3 linked regions of the Arabidopsis thaliana genome follow. Each later gene encodes a partner of the first gene's protein in a complex. Each region holds a gene or a part of one and is shown on either strand. Other genes may lie near its edges. The genes, in order: TOC120, TOC33 and TOC34.

Region 1 (8,597 bases):
GTGAAGGTTTGTGTGCATTCTTCATCATAGATAACAATGGCAAACATGATTCAGTTGAACAACTGAACGATGGCATCCTGCTATTAAAGGTCATATATTCTTTTCATTTAATATTGTCTTTTCGAATATTGAATGAACCGTAATCTTGTTGGTGCAGGTTGATTTGACTGCTTATGTGGAAAAGCATGAGTTCTGCTTTGATGCTGTTCTAGATGAGGATGTTTCAAATGACGAGGTAAGTTAAGAATTGAGCTTATTGGAAACCATAGAAAATCCTATTAGGTGTCCGTGATGCAACCTTGAGCTTTGGTAGATTTATGATTTATGTCAAGGTCGACATACCTGATTGACCTATTAACTAGATCATAGCATGTGGTTTCCCCCAATCCAGATTGGATTGATGTATGGATACATTAAGCTTTTTATATATACAGAAGCTTTATGCTGCTTTGAACATGTTTGTTTGTTTCCTTGAATAGGTGTATCGGGCCACAATTGAGCCAATAATTCCCATTATTTTCCAGAGAACTAAAGCTACATGCTTTGCATATGGCCAAACAGGTATGCAATGACATTAATGTTCATTGGGAAATACACTGATAGTTATACTCTTGCTAACAGATTCCAGTTTTTAGAGGATAATAGATTAATAGTTTCTTCATGCTTTCATGGCCCTAATGATGTTTTGCTTATTCAGGTAGTGGTAAGACATTTACAATGAAACCATTACCTATACGAGCAGTTGAAGATCTTATGAGGTTGTTGCGTCAACCAGTATACAGCAATCAGAGGTTTAAATTGTGGCTCAGCTATTTTGAGATATATGGTGGAAAGCTGTTCGATCTTCTCAGTGAGAGAAAGTTAGTGTTCTTTCTTTTTCTCATTTCTTATAAATGTCGTCTTTGTTGAGGGGTTTTATGTTTTCCTTTTCTTTTGGCATATACTTTGTTCAGGCATATACTAGCTTATAATTGTTATTTCGATGTCAGTATATCGTAAACATTGGCACTTATTCATCCTATCAGTGTCAATACTTTCCATTGTTGTCTACTACTATCGCAAATGCATGTTTACCATTGTCTAAATCATTCAGTTATTGCCGAGTAGGAAACTTTGCATGCGAGAAGATGGTAGACAGCAAGTTTGCATTGTTGGCCTGCAAGAATATGAAGTTTCAGATGTACAAATTGTAAAGGATTTTATCGAGAAAGGAAATGCCGAAAGGAGCACAGGTTCAACTGGAGCAAATGAGGAATCTTCTAGATCGCATGCCATCCTACAGCTTGTTGTAAAAAAGCATGTTGAGGTAAAAGACACTAGACGGAGGAATAATGATAGTAATGAATTGCCTGGGAAAGTTGTGGGAAAGATTTCTTTCATTGACCTTGCTGGCAGTGAAAGAGGTGCAGACACCACAGACAATGATCGCCAGACAAGGTAAAGATTCTCTTTGCCCCTGTGATTGAGTAGTTTGAGAATTGACCTACCACTAATGTGTAGATTAAAATTTATGCCTCTGTTGGACTTGTGGGCATTGATAAAGTGGCACTTTGCTGCTACCTTTTTACTTTAGGACCACCACACTTCAGATCTAAATGCTTCATTGTTTTCATTGTGGATTTTTCTTAGGATTGAAGGCGCAGAAATCAACAAGAGTCTCTTGGCTCTTAAGGAATGTATACGTGCACTGGACAATGACCAGCTACATATACCATTTCGTGGAAGCAAACTAACGGAAGTGCTCCGTGACTCATTTGTTGGAAACTCAAGAACGGTGATGATTTCCTGCATCTCTCCAAATGCAGGATCGTGTGAACATACCCTCAATACTCTAAGATATGCTGATCGGTATGTTTTGTACAAACTATAGCCTCTTGTGAAACAAATTCTCAATTTCATCGTCTATTAACCTCTGTTGGTTATGTATGGAATAAACAGAGTCAAAAGTCTATCTAAAAGTGGAAATAGCAAGAAAGATCAAACTGCGAATTCAATGCCTCCGGTTAATAAGGATCCTTTGTTGGGCCCAAATGATGTAGAAGATGTCTTTGAGCCTCCACAGGAAGTGAATGTACCAGAAACCAGGAGGAGGGTGGTCGAGAAGGACAGCAACAGCAGTACGTCGGGTATTGACTTCAGACAGCCTACAAATTATCGAGAGGAAAGTGGAATCCCATCATTCTCAATGGACAAGGGAAGATCAGAGCCGAACAGTTCTTTTGCTGGCTCCACTAGTCAGAGAAACAACATTTCTTCATATCCCCAAGAAACTTCAGACCGTGAAGAGAAAGTAAAGAAAGTGTCACCACCTCGTGGGAAAGGGTTGCGGGAAGAAAAACCAGACAGACCACAAAATTGGTCTAAAAGAGATGTCAGTTCGTCGGATATCCCTACCTTGACAAATTTTAGACAGAACGCAAGTGAAACTGCTTCAAGGCAATATGAAACCGCTTCAAGGCAATATGAAACCGACCCTTCGCTTGATGAAAACCTCGATGCACTGCTTGAGGTAAAGTACTCACCTATCCCTTTAAAACATGAGATGAAGCTGTGAATTTGATTTGCAAGTAACGGTAGTTCTGTTTATGTCTTATCGTAACCATCACATGACTTTTTTCAGGAAGAAGAAGCTCTGATTGCAGCGCACAGAAAAGAAATTGAGGATACAATGGAGATTGTTCGCGAGGTATGTAAATCACATCATTGCAGCGCACAAAAAACGATTGTAGAATGTTATCACATCATTCAATTTTCTTTTCTGTTATATCATTATCAGGAAATGAAACTTCTAGCGGAGGTGGACCAACCGGGAAGCATGATAGAAAACTATGTGACGCAACTGAGCTTTGTGTTGTCCCGGAAAGCAGCAGGGCTAGTCAGTCTTCAAGCCAGGCTTGCTCGGTTCCAACACCGTCTCAAGGAACAAGAAATACTGAGCCGTAAGAGAGTTCCTCGGTAGTTGGTAGAAGAAGGAAAACCAAAAGTGTGGTGTTGTTTAAGTGTGAAAGGTTGGTTGGGTGATCTCTTCTTATATATGACAAAGAATGACAGAAATGTCCTTCATGTTTGTGAATTTGGGCATTTCTTTCCTTTTATTTTTGAATCTTTATTATAAAGTTATACCTTTTGTGTTTCTTATTTTTCTCTTCTCCTCTATCCTCCCAGAAAGCTGGATACTGTCAATGTGAATCAAACTCTTTTATCAATCAACTGAAAAAGTATAAAACCATTTATCATCTGAAAATGTTTCAAAATTTGGTGAGCCATATATAAAATCAAATTTCTAACAATTAATAAGATCTTCAAATACCATCTATATAGTGACAACCAATGAAAAGACAGTTGAATAGCTCCAAAAGAACAAATAAAGCAATTCTCTCTTGTCGTAAAGATAAAATGGCCAACAAGATTATGCAGCCCAACTAAAAAGGCCTTGGCCCACACTTTACTATTGATCACGTGACATGCCTTTTTCACGATTGCAATATAAGAGCCATTTTCCACCGTCCGATGTTAAAACCCAAACCGATTTAAACCGTCCATGAAAGTCGCTTATCTCCTTCTCCTTCCCGTCGTAGTCGCACTGTCGCAGGCGAGTAAAAGGCGATTTATACAAATACAAAAAAAGCGCATGAAGTTGTTTTTTTTTCTTTCCAGACTTTTGCCTTCTCTAACCAGGTTAGATTCTCGCCATCACTTTTTCTCCTCAATATCAATAGATTCTTCTTTGTATTTTCTGAATTCCTATGAGCAAAATATACCTACGATTTGGAAAATATTAGTTTCACTCCCATTTAATTTAGTGTCTTGTGGATTTAAAAGTAACGAGGATACAAAATTTGGTTGGTGCAGTGTTTCGTGATTTTGGGTGATCCTAGAAATGGGAGATGGGGCTGAGATTGTAACCAGGTTATATGGGGATGAGAAGAAGCTTGCAGAGGATGGTAGAATTAGTGAGTTGGTGGGATCTGATGAAGTGAAGGATAATGAAGAAGAGGTCTTTGAGGAAGCAATTGGTTCGCAGGAGGGTCTAAAACCTGAATCTCTCAAAACCGATGTGTTGCAAGAGGATTTTCCTTTAGCTTCCAATGATGAAGTGTGTGATTTGGAAGAAACAAGTAGAAATGAGAGAGGAGTAGAAAATTTAAAGGTTAATTATTCGGAGATTGGAGAGAGCCATGGTGAGGTTAACGAGCAATGTATAACTACGAAAGAGGCTGATTCTGATTTGGTGACTCTCAAAATGAATGATTATGATCACGGGGAAGTAGCAGATGCAGATATTTCTTATGGTAAAATGGCATCAAGCTTGGATGTGGTTGAGAACAGTGAGAAAGCTACTTCCAATTTAGCTACTGAGGATGTGAATTTGGAAAACGGAAATACACATTCTTCTTCAGAAAATGGAGTAGTCTCTCCTGATGAGAATAAAGAACTGGTGGCGGAAGTTATCTCAGTAAGTGCCTGTTCCGTGGAAACAGGGAGTAATGGTATTGACGACGAAAAATGGGAGGAAGAAATTGATGTATCAGCTGGCATGGTAACAGAACAAAGAAATGGTAAGACTGGTGCTGAGTTCAATAGTGTTAAAATTGTTTCAGGTGACAAATCCTTGAATGATAGTATTGAAGTAGCAGCTGGGACCTTATCTCCATTGGAAAAATCTAGTTCGGAGGAGAAGGGAGAGACTGAAAGTCAAAACAGTAATGGAGGACATGATATTCAATCTAATAAGGAAATTGTAAAGCAGCAAGATAGCAGTGTAAATATAGGTCCAGAGATTAAGGAAAGCCAACATATGGAAAGAGAATCTGAGGTATTAAGTTCTGTTTCACCAACAGAGTCTAGAAGTGATACTGCAGCATTACCACCTGCTCGCCCAGCAGGTCTTGGTCGTGCTGCTCCACTTTTGGAACCTGCACCACGCGTTACACAACAGCCTCGTGTCAATGGAAATGTGTCTCACAATCAGCCTCAGCAAGCTGAAGACTCTACCACTGCAGAGACAGATGAGCATGATGAGACCCGTGAGAAGCTCCAGTTTATCAGGGTCAAATTTTTGAGGCTTTCACATAGATTAGGGCAAACTCCACATAATGTTGTTGTTGCTCAGGTTTTGTACAGGCTTGGATTGGCTGAACAGTTGAGGGGCAGAAACGGAAGCCGTGTTGGTGCCTTTAGTTTTGATCGTGCCAGTGCCATGGCAGAACAGCTTGAGGCAGCTGCACAAGATCCCCTTGATTTTTCTTGTACGATTATGGTGCTTGGTAAAAGTGGGGTTGGTAAAAGTGCAACCATCAATTCTATTTTTGATGAACTGAAAATTAGTACTGATGCATTCCAGGTGGGGACAAAGAAGGTTCAGGATATTGAGGGTTTTGTTCAGGGAATTAAGGTACGGGTAATTGACACTCCCGGTCTCTTACCATCCTGGTCAGATCAACACAAGAATGAGAAGATCCTGAAGTCTGTTAGGGCATTCATCAAGAAAAGTCCGCCTGACATTGTGTTATATCTTGATAGGTTGGATATGCAAAGCAGAGATTCTGGTGACATGCCTCTCTTACGCACCATCACTGATGTTTTTGGACCATCAATATGGTTTAATGCCATTGTGGGTTTGACTCATGCCGCTTCGGCTCCACCAGATGGCCCAAATGGTACTGCTTCTAGCTATGACATGTTTGTGACACAACGTTCTCATGTCATCCAGCAGGCCATTCGCCAAGCAGCGGGAGATATGAGGCTCATGAACCCTGTTTCTTTAGTTGAGAACCACTCTGCTTGCAGGACAAATCGGGCAGGCCAGAGAGTATTACCTAATGGCCAAGTGTGGAAGCCTCATTTGTTATTACTCTCATTTGCATCCAAGATTCTTGCCGAAGCAAATGCTCTTCTGAAATTACAAGATAATATTCCAGGGGGACAATTTGCAACTCGGTCCAAGGCTCCGCCACTACCATTGCTCCTCTCATCGCTTCTGCAATCAAGACCACAAGCTAAGCTTCCTGAGCAACAGTACGATGATGAAGACGATGAAGATGATTTAGACGAATCATCAGATTCTGAGGAAGAATCAGAGTATGATGAGCTTCCTCCCTTTAAGCGGTTGACTAAAGCAGAGATGACTAAGCTTAGCAAATCTCAGAAGAAGGAATATCTCGATGAGATGGAGTATCGGGAGAAACTATTTATGAAGAGACAGATGAAAGAGGAAAGAAAGAGACGTAAGTTGTTGAAGAAATTTGCTGCTGAGATTAAAGATATGCCTAACGGGTATAGTGAAAATGTGGAAGAGGAGAGAAGTGAACCTGCATCTGTTCCAGTTCCAATGCCAGATTTATCTCTACCTGCATCTTTTGACTCTGACAATCCTACTCATCGGTACCGGTACCTTGATACCTCCAATCAATGGCTTGTTAGGCCAGTGCTGGAAACTCATGGGTGGGATCATGATATTGGTTATGAAGGTGTGAATGCGGAACGACTATTTGTTGTTAAAGACAAAATACCAGTATCTTTCTCTGGCCAAGTGACAAAGGACAAGAAGGATGCACATGTGCAGCTAGAATTGGCCAGCTCGGTTAAACATGGAGAAGGTAGATCAACTTCCCTAGGTTTTGACATGCAAAATGCTGGGAAGGAATTAGCGTACACTATTCGAAGTGAAACAAGATTTAACAAGTTTAGGAAAAACAAAGCAGCAGCTGGTCTCTCTGTTACGCTCTTAGGTGATTCAGTTTCCGCGGGACTAAAAGTCGAAGATAAGTTGATTGCTAATAAACGGTTCAGGATGGTTATGTCAGGTGGAGCAATGACTAGTCGTGGAGATGTTGCTTATGGTGGTACTTTAGAAGCTCAGTTTCGAGATAAAGATTATCCGCTTGGTCGGTTTTTATCAACTCTTGGACTCTCTGTGATGGATTGGCATGGCGATCTTGCTATCGGAGGGAATATACAGTCTCAAGTACCCATTGGACGTTCCTCTAATCTCATTGCTCGTGCTAATCTGAATAACAGAGGAGCAGGGCAAGTAAGCATCCGCGTAAACAGCTCTGAGCAGCTTCAACTTGCTGTGGTTGCACTTGTTCCTCTGTTCAAGAAGCTTCTTACTTATTATTCCCCTGAGCAAATGCAATATGGACACTGATGAGTAACATTTAACTGTTTTGATTTTTTCTTGAAACATGTTTTTCTTTTTTTAGTTGTCGGAATTCACTTTTGTTTTAAGTCTTTGATGTTTGGTTGTAACATATGTCTGAAACTTAAAATCCATTATCCCAATGTTTCTAAGTCTTCTTGAAACCTGTATTCGCTCAAGGAATCTGGTCTTAGGTCAGGTCATTCATCAGCATCTTCTTAAACGCTCTCTTACGTTAAGTTCCTCTACAGTGCTCGTCAATTTAACACGTCTTTACGCATCATGCAATGAAGTGGAACTTGCACGCCATGTGTTCGATGAAATTCCTCATCCAAGGATCAATCCTATTGCTTGGGATTTGATGATCAGAGCCTATGCTTCGAATGATTTCGCGGAAAAAGCTTTGGATTTGTACTACAAGATGCTGAATTCTGGTGTTAGACCCACGAAATATACGTACCCGTTTGTTTTGAAAGCATGTGCTGGTCTTCGAGCAATTGACGATGGTAAGCTGATACATAGTCATGTGAATTGTAGCGACTTTGCAACTGATATGTATGTATGTACTGCTCTGGTTGATTTCTATGCTAAGTGTGGGGAACTTGAGATGGCTATAAAGGTGTTCGACGAAATGCCTAAGAGAGATATGGTTGCTTGGAATGCTATGATTTCTGGGTTTTCTTTACATTGCTGTTTAACTGATGTCATTGGATTGTTTTTGGATATGCGTAGAATCGATGGTCTGAGTCCTAATCTATCCACCATCGTTGGGATGTTTCCTGCACTAGGAAGGGCTGGTGCATTGAGGGAAGGGAAAGCTGTTCATGGGTATTGCACAAGAATGGGTTTTAGCAATGATTTAGTTGTTAAGACTGGGATCTTGGATGTATATGCCAAGAGCAAGTGCATTATCTATGCGAGAAGAGTTTTCGATTTAGACTTTAAGAAGAATGAGGTAACCTGGAGTGCTATGATTGGAGGCTACGTAGAAAACGAAATGATAAAGGAAGCTGGAGAAGTGTTTTTTCAGATGTTGGTTAATGATAATGTGGCAATGGTGACGCCAGTTGCCATTGGGCTTATTCTGATGGGTTGTGCAAGGTTTGGAGATCTAAGTGGAGGGCGATGTGTACATTGTTACGCGGTTAAAGCAGGCTTCATCTTAGACTTAACTGTTCAAAACACCATAATTTCATTTTATGCTAAGTATGGAAGCTTATGTGATGCTTTTAGGCAGTTTAGTGAGATTGGCTTGAAAGATGTTATTTCATATAATTCTCTCATCACTGGGTGTGTAGTGAACTGTCGCCCAGAAGAGAGTTTTCGTCTATTTCATGAGATGAGAACATCTGGAATTCGTCCTGATATTACAACATTGCTTGGTGTCTTAACCGCTTGCTCTCACTTGGCTGCTTTGGGACACGGTTCTAGTTGCCACGGGTATTGTGTTGTTCAT
Region 2 (6,791 bases), on another chromosome or scaffold:
CTGATGGCTTTGCATTTGAGTTTTTCTTTCGAATTCTCTCAACAGATCTTTTTTCTCATCTTATAATGAATTTCTATCGGATTTATTCTTTTTGGCAGTACTTGATTATTATTATTATTATTATTTTATTCATAAGTTAAAAAAAAATATGAACCGTTGGTTTCGTAAATATCTAATTTCAGTGAAATAAAGACAATGTAATTTCTTCATAATTGCAATGAAATAAAGAAAAATTAGTCTATTGACCAATGGTAGATTTTGGTATTTTTGTTTTGGCCATTCATGGAAGTTTACAACGATCATAACGTTTTAAATCGTACTTGTATTTTTTGTAGATTTATGAGAAAAGGTAAGTACAATAAAGAGTAATTGCAGGGAAGAAGAGGGATATTAATGATTGGAGAAGGAGAACCGCGTATCAGGCTGGGCTATGTCGGTTTCTCATGACACGGTCTTGTTGTATCACACCGATTATATATTATCGTTTTACAGCAATGTTTATATCATGCCTACAAAATATAGGGATTCAAATTGCTTAACCACGTTGTATTCTTCTTCTTCTTCTTGTCCAACTTTTTCTACGAAATTATAGCAAATCAAATTCATGCTATTTATTGAACGCAAATGTTTAATTTTCAGACAAATCAGATTCTTACTTTTGCTGTTCAAACCCCAAAATTCAATGAAGAAATTTTATAATATTCATCAGATACTGAGCGGATTTTAAGCAAAAAACCAAGAGAAGTGATAGATACTGAGCGAGTTTGATATGAAGATTATCTTGGCCGGAGGTTGATTATCGTCTTTCCAACGAAGCAACTGCAACACCATTATATGGATATTTGGTGTCTCGTCATCAGAGTCGTGCCAATGAATTTTGATGCTATAAACAAAAAAATATAGTTTAATATTTTAATAAATAATGTAAACATAACAAAAAAATTATTTATTAAAATATACACATAACAAAGAAGACGGAAAGCTCCTCTCTCACAAGCCAGGCTATCTCGCCACCTGCTATACCTTTGAATATTTCAAAGGTCTTTTTTGAGAAGTATTTCAAAGGTCCGTCTTCTTGACACTACCGGCGACAAGAGACATTTTTACAACGAAAGAGTTCGATAATAGAAAGGTTAGTAAAAAAATAAAAATATTCTTTGTCGTAATTATTTCAAAGGTCATTTTTGAGAAGTCAATAAAACTATGTTTTGTTTTGTTAACAACATGCATTATACCGTTTGATTGATAACATAATAACGACACTAGCACATTTTACTAGTTTACACATTATAATCAACCTAATCGTTTTTGGTCATATTTTTGTTCTAAATTATTTATGTTTTGCTTAAAATTTGCTTAATTTATTATTAAACTTTAAATATTAATTATTTTTTTTGTTATGTTTATAATATTTATTAAAATATTAAATCATATTTTCGCGTATGGTATCAAATTTTTTTGGCACGTTCTGTTTGGATGTTATGTCACAAAAATTAAAAATTTAGTACTTACAAAAAAAACAAAACATGGTTGAAAAAATCTTTCAATCAATTACTAAAAAAAAAAGTAAATGAAGAAAGCAATACCTCATGCAGCAGCTTGTGATATGATCCAAAAACAAATCGGGACAGCTAAAGGTCTTGGCTGGTACAAGCAAAAACTCGGTCTCCTTGAGCCCATCCAGCTTCTTTCAGGTACTACAACATATTAAAAAGATTGCACATGTCAAAATGACTATTACCATATCCAAATTTCGATTGTTTCCTACTTTCCTTTTATCTTCAACAGTTGTTTCCTTTTTCTTATTTGAGAACGTTCGAGAAATCTGGACCGTCTATTTTCATCATATTGCAACTGTGAGATCTGATGGTGATTATCTAATCTAAACGGTAAGTTTGTTAGATTATGTGGGACCGGGACGATCTATTTCTTAAACCTCTGTTACAAACAAACACTCATGTCTATTAGTATTAGGAAATAAGAGATGGATATGATGATGATTCCGAACCAATTCTCAATAAACTGTTTATAATGGAACAGAAGCAGCAGTGATTGATGATCTAACAGACATTGACATCAGGCTACCAATGCTAGTCTTCCTGTGGGAGATAGAAGCGGCCTTGGTTATGCCGAGTTTTCTGTTGATCTGTGTTTATGTAATCACCCGAGGATGCAAACAATTAATCCCATCAGCTAAAAGACTTGTTTGATTCAAAACAGACTTTAGCAGATCATTTGTTTTTCTTATCTACAGAACATAATATATTCTTTTTTTGGTGATATTATGATTGGGAAACATCCATTTCATTTAACCAGAAAGCATGGCAATCTTTTCTTTGAACAAATCTCCATAAATTACAGACAAAGATAAAGCCGGAAACAAGAAAATGTTGCAGATAAAATCTAACAAAAGAAAGAACAATCGAAAAACTCTTCTTCTCCTTGTAATTTGCTCACAACAAAACCTCTTCTTCAGAGCCTCTTAAAGTGGCTTTCCACTTGTCTTGATATCATTTCTGATTGCTCCTTGAATCATCTTAACGATCAAATACTGCAAAGTAGAAGAAAGGATTTCACTTGTTTACCAAATTCGAACAAGACAATAAATCAAACTGTGTCTCTTTCTTACCTGAGCGCCTATGATAAGAGGGATGAGTTTCTTTCCTTTATCATCAGAGTAAGATCCATCTACCATCTTCTTGTCTACATGAATTGCTTTCCTCTGGTTTGTTGCTACATCAGTTATCGCCTTAACCAAGTTCGGGATCCACGCTTCACCATTTGGAAGAGCCTGAACCGAGAGCAGGTAAGCAACTTTTAACAGTCAGTCTCTCTCCAAGTCGGATCAAATCAGAGATTCGAAAACACAAACCTTTTCGTCCTTATCGTTCTTGCTGCATCTTCCGCTGTTCTCTGCATAGACTACCGCGATTGCAGAATCCTACAAGCCAGTAAAGAATGAAACTGATTCTTGCTACAATGAACCAAACATACATTGGTATAACAATTTTCGGAGACAGGTATATGTATAAATAACCATACCTCAAACTCTTGTTTTCGCATCTTAGAACCAGCCCGGATAGTTTTGAGGAGAGAATCTGATCTCTTGGAGGAAAAAGTTTCGTAGGAAAGTTCATCGGGAGGGGAAAATTGAGCATGAGTCAGAACAAGCAAGGTTTTGCACCATATCTCTTTTCCAAAGGTTTGGGTGATTGCTATAACAACTTGCTTATCTAGCTCATCGACTCTATACACATCCAAACGATCAACATAGAGCAAGACATCTATTGTTCTGTTCACAAGAAACCTGTCCAAAATCCGAGAAACACAACAACTATCGTAAAACTTCCACACACACTCCAATATACAGCTTCAGCGTAAACCAGATACTCATAATTCACAATTTCAACAGAAACCCACAAGTAAACATGTTAACCACATATATACTTAGCTTAATTAATTCAAAAACGAATGAGATAATCCTATATGCAACAATCAACGAAGAGATATTCCAAAAGAGTAGCTACTGACCCTTTGATTAACTCGAGAGCTTGGTGATTGACATATCCAGCTTCCACAAGTCCAGGGGTGTCAATAATGTTGATAGTGAACCCTCCCATTGTTCTTGAAACCATCACTGGTCTCAATCCTTCAGCCTACAAAATCAACAAAACAGAGCCATCAAATATCTTGAAATGACTACTCTTTCTTAATCCAAATTAAAAAAATCAAGCTTAGGGAAACTGAATTACGTACTTGGAAAGGACTGACACGGACGACTTGTTCGCCGATAAGAGAATTGACAGTGGATGATTTTCCGACACCGCCTTTACCCAGAACAAGAACTGTCATTGAGTTCATATCCTGCAATTACAAAAACCTCCCATCATTATCTCCTAATCACAACGGAGAATCCGAGAAACCGACTTAAGCACCAAAGAAACAGGAACAACAACAACAAAACACACCTTTTGCTTCAATTTTCCGAAGAATTCAATCAGCTTTTCCTGGGTAGCTGCTGGAAATTGCTGAAACCCAACCCATTCACGAACGAGAGACCCCATCACTCCTAAACCCTTCAGCAAAAAAATTCTTTTGGTAAATAATCGCTGAGTGATGACGATGATGATAATTAATTTCGAAAGCGATAACGTTTTGGGAGATTTGGAGGAGCTTACCGTTGTGTGAGGAGCGTTTGAGGTTTTTGGAAGAAGCTCTCTCGATGTGTTCCGCAGAGAAAAGCTAAAGAATGTGACCTTATCGGTAATTTGTTTAATAGTTCAAATTATTTTCACTTTTACTCCTCTATTTCTTTAGTGTTTCTTTTTAGTGCCTTCAAATTTTGAAAACTAACAAACTCAACCCCAAACCAAATCCAGTTACCAAGTTGCAGCATTACACTTCATATTTTCATGGAAGACTACATTAGGTGGAACATTGAATTAGCATAGCGTCACGGGAGCTCAAGCGATTCTCTGAACCTTTCTTCGCTTGTAAGTCAAGGAAAACAAATGGTCACTATTGGCTTCTCGAGCATGATTGTCTTCGCTCAGGACCCCCAGCGGTTTTCTCAGAGCCTTGGCTTCCCTCTGAAAGTTATTACTAGACGAAATCCTCTTGCTCTCTGTTGTTTCAGAGCCTCTGTCAACAGTCCTAGGCTTAAAACCAGGAGACTTCAGGTGGTACCGGACATATTCTTCTTGCTTTAGAGGTATATTCTGTTCTGTGATGGAGTAATTTGAAACACGGAGAGCACTGGGAACAGTGTGTGTTGGATCATGAAACACCGGTTCTGTACCTTGGATTGATCTTTGTGTAGTTTCCAAATAGGTTAAGAAAGGGTCTGGGATAGAACAGCCAAGAGTTCCGTAGGGTGGTTTCTCAAATGTCGTACCTAAGTATGGAGACGCTGCAAATCTAGTACTCTTTGAACCGGTTTCATGGATTTGCAGGAGATTGTTTCCTGGAGCTACATAGGGTTTCCTGAGGATGGCAGAAGAAGATTTAGGGACTAATTTGAGAACACCCTTTGGCAAAGTCTGATGATGATGGCCAGCAGAAACTAAGCTGGAACCTTGATACCGGAATACTCCTTCCTTGGTTATCTTTATCTTGAGACTGTTCTTGGAGCTGCCACTGCGAGGGAAGGTTAAACTTTTCGATCTATTTCTTTCCACGGGTTTCACTACATTGGGAGTTTTGAATCTACATGTAGCACTATCCATTTCCTTAGATGGAACTCTATTGAGGTCCAGTAGCTTGAGATTACCGGTTTGAGTTCGTCCTGACCAAATGAGGAGCCTTGAGTAATTGCCCAATTTATTTCCATACTGAACCCACACCCTTTGCATTTCGGTAAATGTCCTGATCAGCTTTTCATGATAGAACTTTAAAGAGTAGTAATACTTTCTCCTCTTGACAAACATAACACCTTCTTTGAAACAAGCTACCTTTGGAGTAAACAATCCACCTAGCAAATTCTTGTAAAACTTATCCTCTGGATTCCCAAAATATAAATTGGCACCATCAAGAAGTTCCTGCATCGTCAAACTGAAAGTCTGTGGATCCATATCTGGCAGAAAACATGAGAGGAAGAATCTTTCTTCTTCAGTCAGAAGTGAGTTCCAAGTCTCAACAGACAATATTCCCGTTAAATCTGGTAGATCGTAGAGCTCGTATGGTATGTTACAGAGCTGACCTTCAACCAAAGCTAGCTCACAGTTTACTTGCGCAATGTCGTAATCATCAGAGTCATCATCTTCAGAGTCTAGCCCAACTGTTTGATTCTTATTCATCTGTAGTTAACCACTTACTACCCTTAAAACACAAGTACTTCAAATCTCCAACCACAAACTCAGTAGAAAGGAACACAAGCAGGAGATACCTAGATAGAAAATGTTAAAGACTCATCATCAGCAATTCACATTACAAGAATTCTACTACAATACAATGGACAGCGAGAAGCTGAGTATGTTACTAATCAGAAATCAAACGAACATAAATAGCATTTTACTCACTGATTTCAGCAACAACAACACTAAAGGCTATATAAAACACGAAATATACATTGTGAGATCAATGAAGCACTCAAAAAGAAGAAGATACACAACACCAGAAAATCTCCCAGATCGGATCAGCTACAAAGCTTAAACGTAATCGATCGCGAACTCAATCAATAACCAAAATCAAAAGCTCCAACAAGGCAAATAACTAGAGAGCGAAAACCCTTGGATTTGACAACAAAAATGTGCAGACAATTTGAATAAAAAACAAGTATCATACAAATCTCAGCACAAATCAGCTCCAATGAGTTTCAAAAACCTACCGGAACTAATAAAAAAAAAGAATCTCGAGATATTCAGAGAAATCGATCGGAAAGCGTAAAAGACGAGGAGCTTACCGGCTCTAAAGACAGGTGAAATTAGCAGATTAGGGTCGAAGAAACCATATCCCTTTGGCTACAGATACGAACTTCATCGCCTTCAAAGATTCTCTGCTTCCTTTCTAGAGATTTCTATGGCTTTTCGATCGATGCGACAGTAGAGTAGAGACTAGAGAGACTAATTACTGTTACACTTGTATTTTGATTTCTTTAATTAAAGCCGCCTAAAGTAACTAATGCCTTGATTACTTTAATTAATAATCATTTTTAAATTGTGATTTATAATCAAGTTAGACATTACTTCACAAATAGTTTGGGCCTGGAAACGTATAGGCCCATGTAAACTTTAATAAAAGAATCACCTTGCAGGTAAGTATAATATCCTGATATTATTATTTACTTGATAGAA
Region 3 (7,009 bases), on another chromosome or scaffold:
CAGACAAAAGATTTACATCAATGGGACAAACATTTACATGTAAACCTGTCAAAAAACAGACACGATAACCTCCACAGCCTTACTTGTTAGTGGCACCATAGACTCGTCTGCTCTTTGCATTCTCCACCTGAGAAGACCAACACCATCTCCACCTTGACCAGTGGGAAATGGCTGATCAGGTCTCTTCAGCCCTAGAATATTCTCATTATTGAACATATCTCGGTTGATGTTGGGATGGGTCTTGAAAAGAATTTCGGGATTTTCACCGGTTGCAATCTGAAGACAAAGTAAAACATAGATGTATTCATACAAAGATAAAATACAGAAAGTGATGAATTCAAGAAAACTGTAAAATGCATAGGAAGCTCTTGGAAATAGTTAAGAAAGAACGTTGGAGTACCTGGACTTGGACAAATCCATCTTCTTGGTTAAGAATTTGAAGTGACAGGGTTCCCTGCATATCAAAGCTACTAAGTCCACCATCTCGTCTCAATGCAACATTGAGCTTCTCTTCAACAGTTAATGTGAAAGGATCAGTTGGAGGTGGGGCAGCTGCTTTGGATTGGCCAGTAGGCTTAACATCTTCAATGACGTCTTCACCTTCTGCTTTAAGGGACTCCATTAACTGGTTCTTTCCCGACTTGCCAAGTTTCATGCCAGAACTCTTAGGAGGAGCAGTAACAGAAGACCGTGATCGATCTGTGAAGTTAAGCACGGTGGATAAGAATTTCAAAACAAAGAGATTATCTAATCGAAATCAAGTATATATATATAGAGGCGCTTAAGAAACCCGAGATGGAAGGGCATTTTGATTTGAATACTTGGGATTGAACGGTCATTTGTGAATGATCCACTAGTTAAAGCACACTAACCTTTTGGTTTGGTATTGATAGGGTCGACATCTGAAATCATGCCAAACCCAGAACCACTTCCATAACCACCGCCGCCACCACTGGATATGCTCAATTCATTGAAACCACTTTCAAGTCTTCCAGATCCCATTGAACCCATGGACGAAAATCCTCCTGGCTTATTCTTTTCAATCTAGGAATTACATAAGAAATATTAATAGGAGTTACAGAAATAGAATACAACAGCAGGGTGCGCTCCTGTCATGTACCTTGCTTTTGTCAATCTCATTAGCCTTACGCTTCATCACGTCCTTAGTGTCATTGATCTTGCTCTGCATAACCAGTTTATGCAACTTCTCCTCATGACTTTCCATTTCACAATACTGCTTCACCTGGGCAACTGTCACACTTTCCTTGTGCCCAAGAGATATGACTTCATCAAATGCAAATATGAGCTCAAAAGATGCCCTGGAAATCCCTTCTTCATCTAAAGACATGGAATACTCAGGTACCTAGAAACAATCAAATGATCAAACAGCACTTGGAACACTCACTTTTCAAAAGAACTAAGAACCAGTACACATCCAGAGTCAAGGCAATAATCTCCTCAAATAAAGTAGCAGAAGTAAAAAAAAAAGAAAGAAAGAAAGAAAGAAGCATACAAGTTTGGAGAGCAAAGTAAGGGTGGCCAGGTCTTCTAGAATGTTACTCTGCTTAGTTGTAACAAGAAGCAGGAACAGAGCTTCAATAGGCTGATAAACATATCGCACATTCTCCGTCTCGATATAGGTATGCTGCTTTCCCATTCCAACCAGCTTAGGAAAAGCTGCAAGTAGACCTTCGATTCTGATACGGGACATATCCACATAGTGTCTGGAAACAATCACTACATAAAAAAGAAGAAAGTTAGAAAAAACGCAAAAATATTGAAAAACGAGAATTCGAAGACAAAGTCAAAGATAGATGAAAATAACCTTTCCCAGACTTGACCACAATGGCAGCAGCAAGCACAACCTATAAAGCACAGGTTCCAACTTTAGAAAACGCGCCAGACACTCATCAAACACTAAAGTTAACACCAAATTGCGAAGATGCACTAAAAAGGAAAAAGAAAAAAACCAATCATAGAACAAAAGTCAATACCATTTTGATTATTCAGGCTCGAACAATCTCGGCGATTATAAGAAAGGTAATGCGAATCTGAAATACAAAGAACCAATGTTAGAGTAAATCCAGTTAGAGCGAGATCAGAAGAAACAAACGGGATTTGATCTTCAGGATCATAAATCACGTAATAGAGGAAGAGATCTCGAATACACGAATCCAAACGAAACTAGACTAGCGAATCGAAAATATAAAAAGAATTCATCGCAGATCCAGCGGATCTACGAGCATCAGAGGCTCATAATCGAAAAACATAACTGTAGAATCAAAATCAACACAAGCGGATCAAATTCATGAAACAGGATCGCGAAATTTAGAAGGAGGAGAAAATTCTTAATAATGGAGATCCACAGAAATGTAGCCAGAGAGAACATTCATTCAAAGGAAAACGAAAATCATCACCATCAGTGAAGGCGAAGAGCGAGAGAACAAGACGATACCTTGGGAGTGATCGAAGGAGATGAAATCACCAGTTTCTTCTTCACAAGCTCGCCGAGTAAAAAAGATGAAACGAGTCTCAGATTAAATCCTGGTGTGTGTGTTAGAGAAAAGACGATCCACAAAACAAGGACAAGTAATCTGGGCCGTTTCAGTTCCTTATTGGGCTTTCCAACCCAGTAAATGGAAGAAAAAATGCCAAAAGGGCAAATTCGTCATTGGTGCAGACCGACGACATTCGGTTTAGTCCGGTTGAATTTTGAAAGGAATGTACTTTCATGTATTGAGATTTGTAGCAATCAATCATCTTCAAAAGTCAATTTCAGTTCTAGGGTTTTAATTTGATACGAGGTCAGCGAATCCGGCGACGAATATCCGCCACTAGTAACTCTAGCTCAGGTAGGTTACTCTCTCTCTCGTTTTCTTTCTTTATCTGGTTTTCACTTCGTCCACTTAGAAGTATGCTCATTTGATAAATTGGCATTTGACCCCAGTTCAGGATTTAGGATTCTGATTATCTCTCAATACTTGATTAGTTTAGTGCTTAAGTTATTAGTTTTTGGTATGCCCACTTGCGCCATGTTCGTTTCTAAAGCAATGAGATTATTTTCATTTAAAGATCTGGAAAAAAGAAACTAATGGAGACAACGGCAAATGAAGATGGATTTTAAGGGTTTTTGTTCTTAGTAAAAAAAAGTTATCTTCTTTTTAATTTTCTGAGACTTTAATTGCTAGAAAGTTATAGGATTGATTCAGATAGTGGAATCAGACAACTTTTTCTTTTATGGGCGATTACTCATTTTTGTTCTTTGGTCTTCTGATTGTTTAGTTTCTTAGCAGATGATTTAGTCTTCTCTTTTGTGATCCTTTTTTGCTTTCCTTGGAAGTGTAGGTAAGGATTTGTGTCCATGGCAGCTTTGCAAACGCTTCGTGAATGGATCGGTATCCAGCAGTTCCCACCTGCTACTCAATCTAAATTGCTCGAGATCCTTGGGAAGTATAAAGAAGAGGTTCCTTTCTTGTTTCTAGCTTCATCTGCTTTCTGTTTGTTTCTTCTTGTCTTAGAGAGATTTAAGAAAGAAAAAAAACTGGTGTAGGATGTGAGCTCGCTAACGGTCCTTGTAATGGGGAAAGGTGGTGTTGGAAAGTCATCAACTGTGAATTCAGTTATAGGCGAGAAAGCTGCTGCAGTTAGTACTTTCCAGGTGCCAAGTTTAATGCTCTTCTCATGGCTTGTCTTTATGACTATTGGCTATCTTTCTTTTAATTTTTCTCATAGAAAGTGTGTGATTTTCCCTCTTTATAGTCTGAAGGACTGAGGCCTACCTTGGTCTCTCGCACAAGATCGGGATTTACATTGAATATCATCGACACTCCTGGTCTTATTGAGGGAGGATATGTGAATGATCAAGCCATCAACATTATAAAACGGTATGATGAACTGTTTCCAGGTCTAAGGAGTTACTCTCCTAATTTGGGGCTCATTTGTGGCATTTGTATTAATTTGGATTCGTGGATGTTGAATTTGAACAGATTTCTCCTCAACATGACTATAGATGTGCTACTATACGTAGACCGTTTGGATGTGTACCGGGTGGATGACCTTGATAGGCAAGTTGTCGGTGCTATAACTGATGCATTTGGTAAAGAGATATGGAAGAAGTCTGCTCTTGTTCTCACCCATGCTCAGTTCTCTCCACCAGACGGGTTAAATTATAACCACTTTGTCTCCAAAAGATCTAATGCTCTTCTAAAAGTTATCCAGACAGGCGCTCAACTGAAGAAACAGGATTTGCAGGTATAGTTTTTTCCTCCTTACATAAATGTCTGTAACGACCTTGATAGTAGTCAAGTTAATAGACTCACTTACCTCTGATCTTTTATTGTAGGGTTTTTCTATTCCTGTCATTCTTGTTGAGAACAGCGGAAGATGCCATAAGAACGAAAGCGATGAAAAGGTCAGTTGATTGGTTTTGTCCACGTTCTCTTTTTCTCGCGTCTTGTAGTAGTTGGACCAATCTTGAAGTCGGATTTTCCAAATTTGTGACAGATTCTTCCATGCGGGACTAGTTGGATTCCCAATCTGTTCAACAAAATCACAGAGATCTCTTTTAATGGCAACAAGGCGATTCATGTTGACAAGAAACTGGTCGAAGGGCCAAACCCAAACGAAAGAGGAAAAAAACTGATTCCTTTAATGTTTGCATTCCAAGTAAGCCCCTCTGAACCATTCAGTAACAATACAGAATAAGGCTTGATCAAAACATCATGCATCATTTATTCATCTTTTGATGGTTTGAAAATGCAGTACTTGCTGGTGATGAAGCCATTGGTTCGAGCAATCAAGTCCGATGTTTCGAGAGAGAGTAAACCGGCGTGGGAGCTGCGAGACTCCGGTTTAGCAAGTCGAAGGTCTTGAGTTGTGGACACGAGTTTTGTTTGGTTTGTTTGTCTATCTGAGAGATTGTTCTGTAGTTGAAATTGTGATACAACTCGAGAAATGTGGTTCACAGATAATTACTGTCGCAAAGTTCTCTCATCTTAATTACATCTTCTTTAGCCTCTCGTAAATCGTAATTAAGAGCTACTCTCTTGGTGAAAATGATTAGAAGAGATAATTCCATTTTGTCATTAATGGTAAAAGTAACCGCTGCAGTTATTTTTGACGCGATGCAAGTTTTGAAATAAAATAAAAATTTGAGTTAAAGAAAAAAAAAACCGATGTTTAAAGGAGGAATTTGGCAAACGGAGAAGACGGTTCAGAGAAGATCGTTTACTCTTTCCTCAATTTCGAACAAAGTTTTCGAATTTTCCAACTCTCTCTAGTGAATTTAGGGTTCTGATTTCGACATTAGTGTAAAGATTTGTTTTTTATCCGAGGGGTGCGATTGTGTAGTCAAACCAGATCAAATGTCGGCATCAACGGTGTCGATCACCGCTAATACGGCGGCAGCGACTAGACGGACGCCGATTCTTGCCGGAGAGAAAAAATCAAACTTTGATTACCCTCAAAGCGAATCGCTTGCGAACGGTGGTGTTGGGGAAGCCGGTGGTACGAGTAGAGATCTGAGCCGCGGTGAAGCTACCCTTGATCGATCTCAGGGACAAGATTTGGGTCCTGTGACGAGAAGGTCTGTTTCCGCTGCGACGGGGACTAATACCACCGCTACGCAGCGCCGGACGCGGAAGGTTGCGACTCCTAAGTCTGAGAAAGCGCGGTGGAAGACAGTGGTGAGGATATTTGCGAAGCAGCTTGGTGCGCTTTTGATCATTGTTGGGTTAATTCAATTGACGAGGAAGATGATTCTCAAGGCTTCTTCTCCGTCCTCTCCGATTTCTTCTTATGAAACGGAGATGGCGTTTTCGGGATTGGAAAGCCGAATTGCGGAAGTAGATGGTCTTGTTAAGGCTACGACGAATTCGATGCAGGTTCAAGTTGAATTGCTTGATAAGAAAATGGAGAGGGAAGCAAAAGTGCTTAGGCAAGAAATCGAGAGGAAAGCTTCTGCATTTCAGAGTGAGTTGAAGAAGATAGAATCTAGAACTGAGTCACTAGAGAAGTCTGTAGATGAAGTAAATGCTAAACCTTGGGTGACGAAAGATGAGTTAGAGAGGATTTATGAGGAACTGAAGAAGGGGAATGTTGATGATTCTGCTTTTAGTGAGATTAGCATTGATGAATTGAGGGCTTATGCTCGTGATATTATGGAGAAAGAGATTGAAAAGCATGCTGCTGATGGCCTTGGCCGAGTTGATTATGCATTGGCTTCTGGTGGTGCTTTTGTGATGGAGCATTCAGATCCTTATCTTGTTGGTAAAGGGAGTAGCTGGTTTGCGACTACCATGCGGCGCGCTCATACGAATGCGGTTAAGATGTTATCTCCGAGCTTCGGTGAGCCTGGACAATGTTTTCCTCTGAAAGGTAGCGAGGGCTATGTGCAAATCAGGCTGAGAGGACCAATCATACCAGAGGCTTTCACATTGGAGCATGTAGCTAAGGTAATGATACTCTTGTACTGCAAACTATTTGTGTTGGTATCAGTTTTCTTTCTTGTGTGCTCTTATTACTACCTTTGGTGTTTGCATTTACAATGGTTTGATATTGAGATGCCTGGAAAAAATGACGCCATTTTCTTTGTGACTGTTGATGGCATGAAATTGTTTGAATGAGGCTTGAGATTAGTTTAGATCGGTTGCTGCAAAAGATCTGAACTGAAGAGGATTATGGTTACTTAATAAGTTTCGTCATCATCCAGTAGGTCTCGTCATAGTTCTCCAATTCTGTGTGTGCCATATGCCATTGACCTTTAGGAGTTTGTTTAAGATCTGTTTTTTTCTGGCATTATCTTTTGAAATTGATTACACAATACCACTCTATCGAAGTATCTCAAACCTTTGTCAAAGAGTTCAATAGTATGCATAAATAGATCCTTTGAGGGTTTTGGGTTATCTTCTGTTTCTATTTGCAACGACTGGAACTAGACTATTTTGTTTGTTTGGGGTTATTTCAATGACAATAACCGAGTAAAATGAAATAAAGAAGACATTTGGATACG

Evidence for each region.
Region 2: TOC120 (region 1) and TOC33 share a complex: the UniProt entries of both Arabidopsis thaliana proteins name them as parts of the TOC core complex.
Region 3: TOC120 (region 1) and TOC34 share a complex: the UniProt entries of both Arabidopsis thaliana proteins name them as parts of the TOC core complex.

Annotation. Positions count from the first base shown.
Region 1 is NC_003074.8:5,657,022-5,665,618, reverse strand, and holds TOC120 (translocon outer complex protein 120), read left to right. Parts: upstream 1-3,552; 5' UTR 3,553-3,678; intron 3,679-3,852; 5' UTR 3,853-3,880; coding exon 3,881-7,150; 3' UTR 7,151-7,283; downstream 7,284-8,597. Other genes in the region: KINESIN-13A (P-loop containing nucleoside triphosphate hydrolases superfamily protein), read left to right, coding at 1-6, 158-235, 480-561, 698-860, 1,108-1,437, 1,630-1,848, 1,939-2,509, 2,621-2,686 and 1 more; AT3G16610 (pentatricopeptide (PPR) repeat-containing protein), read left to right, coding at 7,284-8,597. UniProt on the Arabidopsis thaliana protein: GTPase involved in protein precursor import into chloroplasts. Seems to recognize chloroplast-destined precursor proteins and regulate their presentation to the translocation channel through GTP hydrolysis.
Region 2 is NC_003070.9:446,183-452,973, forward strand, and holds TOC33 (translocon at the outer envelope membrane of chloroplasts 33), read right to left. Parts: upstream 4,245-6,791; 5' UTR 4,179-4,244; intron 4,077-4,178; 5' UTR 4,065-4,076; coding exon 3,969-4,064; intron 3,865-3,968; coding exon 3,757-3,864; intron 3,657-3,756; coding exon 3,532-3,656; intron 3,308-3,531; coding exon 3,043-3,307; intron 2,942-3,042; coding exon 2,873-2,941; intron 2,792-2,872; coding exon 2,630-2,791; intron 2,552-2,629; coding exon 2,483-2,551; 3' UTR 2,241-2,482; downstream 1-2,240. Other genes in the region: AT1G02270 (Calcium-binding endonuclease/exonuclease/phosphatase family), read right to left, coding at 1-15; AT1G02290 (uncharacterized protein), read right to left, coding at 4,464-5,795. UniProt on the Arabidopsis thaliana protein: GTPase involved in protein precursor import into chloroplasts. Seems to recognize chloroplast-destined precursor proteins and regulate their presentation to the translocation channel through GTP hydrolysis. Binds GTP, GDP, XTP, but not ATP.
Region 3 is NC_003076.8:1,472,125-1,479,133, reverse strand, and holds TOC34 (translocon at the outer envelope membrane of chloroplasts 34), read left to right. Parts: upstream 1-2,699; 5' UTR 2,700-2,852; exon of another isoform or gene 2,853-3,345; 5' UTR 3,346-3,361; coding exon 3,362-3,463; intron 3,464-3,550; coding exon 3,551-3,658; intron 3,659-3,759; coding exon 3,760-3,884; intron 3,885-3,986; coding exon 3,987-4,251; intron 4,252-4,342; coding exon 4,343-4,411; intron 4,412-4,503; coding exon 4,504-4,665; intron 4,666-4,761; coding exon 4,762-4,872; 3' UTR 4,873-5,107; downstream 5,108-7,009. Other genes in the region: AT5G05010 (clathrin adaptor complexes medium subunit family protein), read right to left, coding at 84-276, 401-699, 873-1,044, 1,121-1,363, 1,514-1,737, 1,826-1,865, 1,995-1,997; SUN1 (SAD1/UNC-84 domain protein 1), read left to right, coding at 5,364-6,452. UniProt on the Arabidopsis thaliana protein: GTPase involved in protein precursor import into chloroplasts. Seems to recognize chloroplast-destined precursor proteins and regulate their presentation to the translocation channel through GTP hydrolysis.